Linked DNA regions of Xenopus tropicalis. The main gene of each other region encodes a partner of the protein of the gene in region 2 in a complex. Links are inferred from orthologs where the notes say so. Each region holds a gene or a part of one and is shown on either strand. Other genes may lie near its edges.

Region 1 (3,951 bases), on a different chromosome or scaffold from region 2:
AACTTTCCCTAACTTCTGTAAATTTTCATTTGTTACAAAAACCCATTAGGGGAAATAACATCAATTGCTGAGATTTTTCCACCCAAAACCCAGAATGAATTAGCAAACTCAAAAAGTGGGGTTTCCTTTATGATAGTTCAAGCACAAAGGTAAGCAATGAGGCCCTCAGTCCTGTTAGTGACTAGGGATAAAGAATTTGTTTAAAGGTGAACTAAACCCCCCCACAGGAAAAAGCCCCTCATTGCCTGGCCTCAATTGGCCCCCCTCCCTGCAACTTCCTCACAGAAAAATGGGCACTTTTCTAACAGACTCTGCCGGGAGTGAGCAGGAATGGGGTTAATTAAGGGTAGGCTATGGGGCTTTTGCTTGTGGGAGAGTTAGTCCTCATTTAAAAAGAGAAAATGACCGCTGCATAAACAAATATACCCTTCTCCTAGAAAAATGAGTTATCTGTGGACTAGTAAACTGTTTTACTATCTTCTCACCCCACAATTGCTTAGAAGAACTAGGAAGCTGGAAAATCAAGGAGCTTTCAGTTCCAGAGTTTGCCATATATAATGCAAGAAACTGCAAAACTATAGATATTTCTTAATTAAAATAGAAGGCAAAGGATATTTTTGGCCTATTTACTGGACTCTTGCTGGGGATATATTCTGCTCCTTTAAAGCGAATGCTTGTTTGTTGACCTCTAATTAACAAATTCCTATTGCCAAAATAAGTATTTTCACAATAGGAACTTGTTAGGGGGAAAAAAGTGTGACCCCCCTCCAACTTTGGGACAGTGCTTGGGACACAAGCCAAATTTCATTAGCAGATTTAAGAAAAACTAACCCTTTTTTTGTTAATAATTCCCTAATGCCAAAATACTATGTAAGAAGTAGTAATACGTTATAGCGACGGGTATATATAGATTTCCCTATTCTGTATTCTCCAGTGTCATATCTAGAAAGTGGACCCAGCAGCTGCGGACTGTATAGAGATTCCTTTGTAATACTGACAGATAGACAGTTTCAAAATATGATTATGAAAAGTTTCATTATTGCTAAAGCGAAGGACGGGCAGAATGTTTTTGCTTTAGGGCCCTGTAACCTTTAGCTACACATGCCTGTATTGCTGAGAGCACTGCCAATATGTCACATTGCCGGGGTTTCCTGGCACTGCTGGGAGATACTGACAGAGACACACAGATTTCCCTATTAAAACACATGGACTAAGCAAAGACTACTGCGCTAAAAAGCATACATTTCACATTACATATTGCATTTACAATCGTACTGTCTGTAATCCGACATCCTAACAAGTTTCAAAATATTCGTCCTCTATCCTTTGTGAGACACCTTACTCCGTAGTATTGCCTTTCTATACACAATTCTGATCAGTAAATGTACCATAACGAACATTTCTAAATTGCTTTATACAAATAACATCCAACTTATTAACTTACTATCCAACATCGCTCTCACGTTTCGATTTTAATCTTTTTTTTTTTCCACCCACAGCTTTCAGCCCCGCCTCCTCCCGACGTGCTTTGCATTGGTTCTTTCCCAGAGTGCCCTGCTCTAGGTTGAGAAATCCATCGTTCGGCGTTCTGCTGGATGAGTCTGATGCTGATATTTGGTGTTGGTGTCGGACTCGGTACCGGTAACGATAACGATGCAGGAGTTAATTGCTTGTGTGGATCATATCCGGTTCGATCTGGAACTGGCCGTGGAACAACAGCTGGGGGCTCAACCCCTCCCTTTCCCGGGCATGGACAGTGAGTACCGGGGCCTGATCCCTCCCATTACCGGGGTGGGCTTTTAAACCGGGTAATGATCCCTTCTCTTAGCCCTATGATGTTTTTTTAAAGAGTGGATAGTGTGATCTAAATCCGACTCTTTGGGCATGAGGCAGCGACCTACACGTGACTTTATGCATTAGAAACTGAATAGTGGGACCTGGTTTCTTTTTTGTCTTGTTCTTCAGAGAAGTGAAATCTTACTTGGGGGTCTTTTAGCTGTTAGTAATTTACAGCTCTCAGGGATAGCTGTGAGTTTTAAGTCAACAAATGGATGGCCGCAGGTTGGACGTTATCCTGCTGTGAAAGCAGGTTATAGGTATTTTAAAAAGGACGGGACGCAAGCCAGGGTCTGAAAAAATATCTGCCCAAAGTCAACGTACCCCTTTATCTAGGATAATGACAGCGATTTTAATAGCAAATTGTGTGAGACTTTTCCGCGCCTGTCAGTCCCTGGTTTCCCTGTATGTCAGTCACGTGGTTTTGTAACACACAGTCAATTGGCTTTGAAATAAAAACCATAACTACTGTTATCTTCCTTATATCTGATATACTCCCAGAGAGAGAAACATGCACTATCTGTCCTATAGAGGTATCTATAACATACAAGCTGCTTGCAAATGTAAAAGTAACAAGTTGCATAAATAAGCTGAATTATGTAGGTTTGACTATGCTGACCAGTTCACACACACTCACACAGGCACATGCAAAGTGGGTCATGGGATCTAATAACCAGGGGGACATGTTGTGTTAAAAACAATATTGTGCCAATGAATTGAGGGGGCACACTGTACTGTAGGATAGGAACCAATCAGCAGCTAGGCTGACCTGATAGGGAACTGAAGCCTGTCTTTGCCTGTGTGACTGCAGGGCTGTGATTGGCTATCACTATCCTACTGTGCTTCTGGCAGGGAGCATTAGGAGACGGTCTATAGGGAGCTCCAAAAAAGGACCATTTTTACAGATAGTATTAATTTTTAGTCCAAAGTGAAACCAGCACCATAATTGCCTACAAGATTAGAGGTTTTGTGGTTATCCTTTATGTCTCCTTTAAAGCTTTCAATAAATTAGACCTAGAAATCAACCAAAGGCATATGAGAGCTTCGGAAAGTAGCAACTTTCCATCAACATTTATAGTGTAATAACAGATTTTAGTACAGAACAGGATGCTGGAGTACTTGCCAACCCAGGCAATTGTGTACATGGCTGGTCCTTCTTGTGAATCTTATGCTGCCTATAAGGTGTGACAAGCAGGTTGTGTTTTGTAGCTTGCAATCTTACATTAGGCAATGGCATATGGGACGTATTGCCACCTGCACATACTCTTCTCCAGTTCGAGCAACAAAACGTCCAAAGCTCTCTTCCCATCAGCATTAATGTAAATAACTGGTGGGAAAACATATGCATTGCGTACTAGCCTGAAGTTGTCTTGCAAGGTTACTATGAGAAGCAGACGTAATATACCAGTTTGAGCAGTACATTTTTCCCTATCCAGTATAGGTAGCACTGTGATCGGGGTGATATTATAACAGAATTGAACATTGATCCAGAGGATCGCAAACAAAAAAATAAACATCTGAAGCTATCTCCAGTTTTCCTCAGCAGGGTAAAATTCCTTCCTGACTTTGAAGGGCAATTGGACTAGTTCCTAAATCAACTTCTAAGAGTACTGTAACCCTAGATTTTCTCACTTTCTAAGAAGGCATCCAACCCTCTTTTGAAACTGTCTAATGCAGGGTTGGGCAAACTTTTTGGCTCAGGGGCCACATTGACTTACAGACGGGCCGGGCCAGCATTACACCGTTTCCACTTGTCAGACGCCTCGCGTCATGAGACTTCCAGAGTCGGCAAGCCAGATTAAAAGGACCAACGGGCCGGACGTGGCCTGCGGGCCGTAGTTTGCCCACCCCTGGTCTAATGTATCTTCCAGTACAACTGCTTTGGTGACAGAATTTCACAGCTCTCCCTGTGTTGCATCACCTCTGTTTCAAAACAGTGTAAAAAACTGACATTCTAAAGCTGGCTATACACGTAACAATTACAATCTTTCCTGTGACCATTGGTCTCACGAAAAATTGTTCATACCCTCCAATGACGTTCAGGGCTAATTCGTCGGATGTGGCAGTAGAAACAATAGGCATTCTACTCCTCTCTGACCATTCAGCCCTAAATTC
Region 2 (4,318 bases):
AAATGGTGTGATTATAGCTGGCTACTGTGTGGAAGGGACACTTGCCAAGGTAAGTTCAAAGAGCATGGCAAATATATTTTTCACTTGTGCCTAGTCACATGACACAGTGGGCATATTCAACTAAATTTGGATGCAACTGCAAATTTTGTCATCTTACCCACATCCTCAGTCACTCTCAGTCAAATCTAGGGTTACCTAGTTAGTGCATTCCTCCATTAACATTTTACTAGTTCTATAGGTGCCAAACTCTGCCCATTTTCTAGTCATTAACTATCATCCCAGCTCTGCTAAAAGGGGTTGTTTCCCTAAAAATTAACATTTAGTATGTTGCAGGTATTTATTTTCTCAGACAATTTGCTTTTGGTCTTCAGTTTTTATTATTTTTATTATTATAGGTGTTTTTTTTAATTATTTCGCTTTTTTGTTTAACATCTCTCCAGTTTAGAATTTAGCAGCTATCTGGTTTCTATGGTCCAAATTACCCTAGCAACCAGGCAGTGGTTTGAATGAAAGGCTAGGGTATTAATAGGGCAGGGGCTGAATATAGAAAGGTGAGTAAGATAAAGTAGCCAAAACAATAACATTGTACCATCACAGAGCAGTAGTTGTTTGCCTGCTGGGGTCAGTAACCCCCCCATCTGAAAGCTAGAAAGATTAAAAAAAAAAAAGTGGGGAAAATAATTAAAAAAACTATAAGATATAAAAAAAAAAAAAAAAAAGCACGATTGAAAAGTTACTAAGGATTGCCCATCCTATAACATACAAAGAGTTAACTTAAAGGTAAACTACCCCCTTAAAAGTGTATTAGGCTGTTAATGACCGTTGGACTGTAGTTTAATAGCTGTTAGGCTGCTTGGGAGTTTGATATCCAGCATCATTACACAGCTCACACCAAAACCTGCCTGCCGGCACAGGCCAACCTGTGTTTGTCTGCATTGGTGTGGGGGGATACTGGGACCTTACTGTGCTTTAGTCTTGCATCTCTGCCTGGTGGCATCTGGAAATACATCAAAAAGACTTTGGGACCCTGCTGCACTTTGCTTCTACACCTGCTGGGGTCTCAAAATACACAAGCTTGGTGGGTCTACTTGGAAAAAAAAATGAATAATAACAATGACAATAACAGCATTAGCATCCAGCTCATTTGACACAACTCTATTGCATGTGTCGACACAACACTCTAGGGGAACCCTGCAACTCTGGATTGGTTCCTGGGTTCTGTTGTAGCCTGTACATTGCACAATTCTCTACACTAGGCACTTCCTGCAAGATCTAAATGTGTGAGAGCAAAGTTACTTTGTGAAGCAGAGCATGTACAGCCCTACATCCATTTTAGCACTCTGCACTCATAAATATAGTATAGTGATTAATGTCCATCATATGCATTAGACACCCCTAACAGAGTGACACCAGGAGTCTTAGTACCTAGGTACCTAGCTGTGTCAGTGCAAAATATCTCACTGTCTGGCCTGTGCCACCACCCCAACATTTGATTTTATCATGTAAATGTAAGAAGAAGCAAAATGGTGTATGTATGGAAAATGGGCTTAGTATATATTAATATAATGAACAGAATATTGTATATATGTGTCAGCATCCCATGTAGCTGTATAAGACATGCAGGCTTCCCCCTGTTCTGATGGAACTTCCTTCCCACAGCATATCATGTCTGAGCCCGAGGAGATCGCCACCATGTCTGGGCAGAAGCTGCCGCTTAAGATGTCTGTGGATTACATTTCATTCTCAGCCCACACAGATTACCAGCAAACCAGCGAGTTTGTCCGGGCCCTGAAACCTCCTCATGTGGTGAGTATCAGTCCCCACCTTGTTTCCCCATTCCTGCAATTGATCTCCCTGTTAGGCTTGCACATCCCTTGACGCAATATGTGCCATAAAAAGCATTGGAACTGCCAGCACAGCCAGTTGGAGTTCATCCACCTTTAGTCCTAGAATTATTTATATGAATGAACACTGCAGTGCAATTTTATCAGTTATATCAAATCCTCTATTATAATTTCTCTGCTAAAGGACTCTGAATCCCCACACTCATTCTGGGGTCAGTTTTGTTAGAAGCCACTACCTGGGCTATAAGCAAATTGGACTCTGTCGCTTTGTACTTTTATATTTAAAGTTGTATCAACGATGAACTTCCCCTTTAGGCATTTATTTGTAATATCCACAGATACTGGTGCATGGGGAACAGAATGAAATGGCAAGGCTAAAAGCTGCTCTCATACGAGAATACGAGGACAATGATGAAGTAGAGATTGAGGTTCACAACCCCAGGAACACAGAGGCGGTGACACTGAACTTCAGAGGAGAAAAGTTGGCAAAGGTACAGCACTGCCCCGAAAGACAGGGCCCACGTTGGTTTTGGAATGCAAACTGCTGCTCGGTGGCATTTTCAGATTCACATTGCAGTTTCTGTCCACCAGGTGATGGGTTTACTGGCAGACAAGAAGCCAGAGCAAGGACAGAGGATTTCAGGGATCCTGGTGAAGAGGAACTTTAACTATCACATACTTTGTCCCAGTGACCTCTCTAGTAAGTGAAGCCGCAGTGCAGCTCATTTATTACCACTGGGCAAATTTGCACTTGGGCAGTAACCTATGGCAACAAATCAAATGTTTGGTTTTAATTGTTCTACCTCCAGGTGGGTAAAAGAAATTAATCACTAATTGGTTGCTTTGAGTTGCAATAAGACAGGGGAGAGCCAGTATTGCAGATACGAACGTCATGTATATTATAGAGCCCCTGGCTGCTTTGGCTCTGCTAGACAATAAGAAGGGAAAGTGAGAGTAAGGGGAGCTACGGTAGATTATTGTTCAGGGTTTTTATAGAAACTGGAATGACATGGTATGCTAAACAAATGTATTTCCTTCTATTGTATAACATTATATTTAAAATCAAGGTATATGTCATCTTTAATCAACTTAATGTAATGTGATTTAATGTAGTATAGCTAACTGTAATTCTCTGTTTTTCTGTCTGTAGGTTATACTGACTTGGCCATGAGCACCGTCACGCAGAAACAGGCCATTCCATATACTGGCCCTTTTAACCTTCTGTCTTGCCAGTTACAGCAGCTTACAGGTAACATCCTTTCTTATATATACACAAAGGGTCATCTCTGCCCTGCCTGACCCCTGTGACATTCATTTCTGTGATGGGCTGATACAGGACAGTGGAATCGCATTGAGTGATAAAGCCATAAAACATTACATTTGCCCTGGGGCCCCAGTGTCTGAGAATGTCCCTAGTTAAAGTGGAAATTATATAATATTGTTATGTGTAAGGTCATTGAGGGTGCTGTTTTAGTGAACCTGTCACTGAAGGACAGTAGATAGTCTATCCCCATGTACTTAATGTTTTCTTAGGTTGGGAAATGAGGCATTCTGACTTACCCAGGGCCCCGAGGGTAGGATCCATTTTGGCAAACCTAAGACTGCAATCCAAATGGTGATCCATTTTTATCACCAACATTCTCCCAAGTGACGGGTTTTATTGGGAGCTATTGATTATAGACTGGAGAGCAGGGAAACCACTCAGCTAGCCCTGTCCTTAAAATACATTTACTTTTCCATGTCAGCTGTGTTGCACACTAGCATACATCTAGTTTGTATTATAGGGAGATACGGCCATATTGGTTAATGAGGTAGGGACTCCTGACTGATATAGAGAGAATGGCTACAACTGGCAAATACAATATGCCATCTGCTTCTGTCCCATAACCTGCCGGCCTTTCCCTGCTTCCCCCCTGATCTCCAATTCATCTCTACATACTATATACTCATTTCCCAGTCTGTCTGACCTCTCTGCATGCTCCCTAATTTCCATGTCTTGTTCCCCAATCTTTGTAGCCACCCCATCTCTTTTCAATATCATGTGAAATGATGAAAATGTATATGACAGAAATGTATATTGCATGTATTGTATAGGACTTGGCATTAAAACCAACAGGTGCTGCCAGGGCATGGGCATCAGGCAGACCTGCTATAATAAGCCTTTCTCTCTCTCCTTTCAGGGGATGTGGAAGAGATTGAAGTGAATGAGAAAGATGCACTGAGGGTATTCAAAGCTGTCACTGTTGTGAGGGACGCTGGGATGGTGTACCTGGAGGTAACTTTATATCTCACTCTGTTCCCCTGCTACTAATATCTGCCTTGTGGGAGAAACAGTTGTAATAGTGGTACCCACTATGGTTGCTCTGGTATTTTATCAGTGTGAGTGGAGCTGCCATATTGTGTATCTGGGTTGACCCACTCTCCATATAGAAAACAGGCAATGTATCTGGCAATGTGCCTGATCCCAAGGGATA

What was found. Proteins that work in one complex are often made in the same cells at the same time.
Region 1: cpsf3 (region 2) and cpsf4 share a complex: the UniProt entries of both Homo sapiens proteins name them as parts of the cleavage and polyadenylation specificity factor (CPSF) complex. The link is inferred for Xenopus tropicalis from reciprocal best matches to the Homo sapiens genes CPSF3 and CPSF4.

What each region holds. Positions count from the first base shown.
Region 1 is NC_030685.2:47,261,644-47,265,594, reverse strand, and holds the start of cpsf4 (cleavage and polyadenylation specificity factor subunit 4), read left to right. Parts: upstream 1-1,151; 5' UTR 1,152-1,328; intron 1,329-1,444; exon of another isoform or gene 1,445-1,499; 5' UTR 1,500-1,653; coding exon 1,654-1,756; exon of another isoform or gene 1,757-1,808; intron 1,809-3,951. UniProt on the Homo sapiens protein: Component of the cleavage and polyadenylation specificity factor (CPSF) complex that play a key role in pre-mRNA 3'-end formation, recognizing the AAUAAA signal sequence and interacting with poly(A) polymerase and other factors to bring about cleavage and poly(A) addition.
Region 2 is NC_030681.2:137,813,701-137,818,018, forward strand, and holds part of cpsf3 (cleavage and polyadenylation specificity factor subunit 3), read left to right. Parts: coding exon 1-49; intron 50-1,659; coding exon 1,660-1,806; intron 1,807-2,182; coding exon 2,183-2,335; intron 2,336-2,435; coding exon 2,436-2,544; intron 2,545-2,994; coding exon 2,995-3,093; intron 3,094-4,024; coding exon 4,025-4,119; intron 4,120-4,318. UniProt on the Homo sapiens protein: Component of the cleavage and polyadenylation specificity factor (CPSF) complex that plays a key role in pre-mRNA 3'-end formation, recognizing the AAUAAA signal sequence and interacting with poly(A) polymerase and other factors to bring about cleavage and poly(A) addition.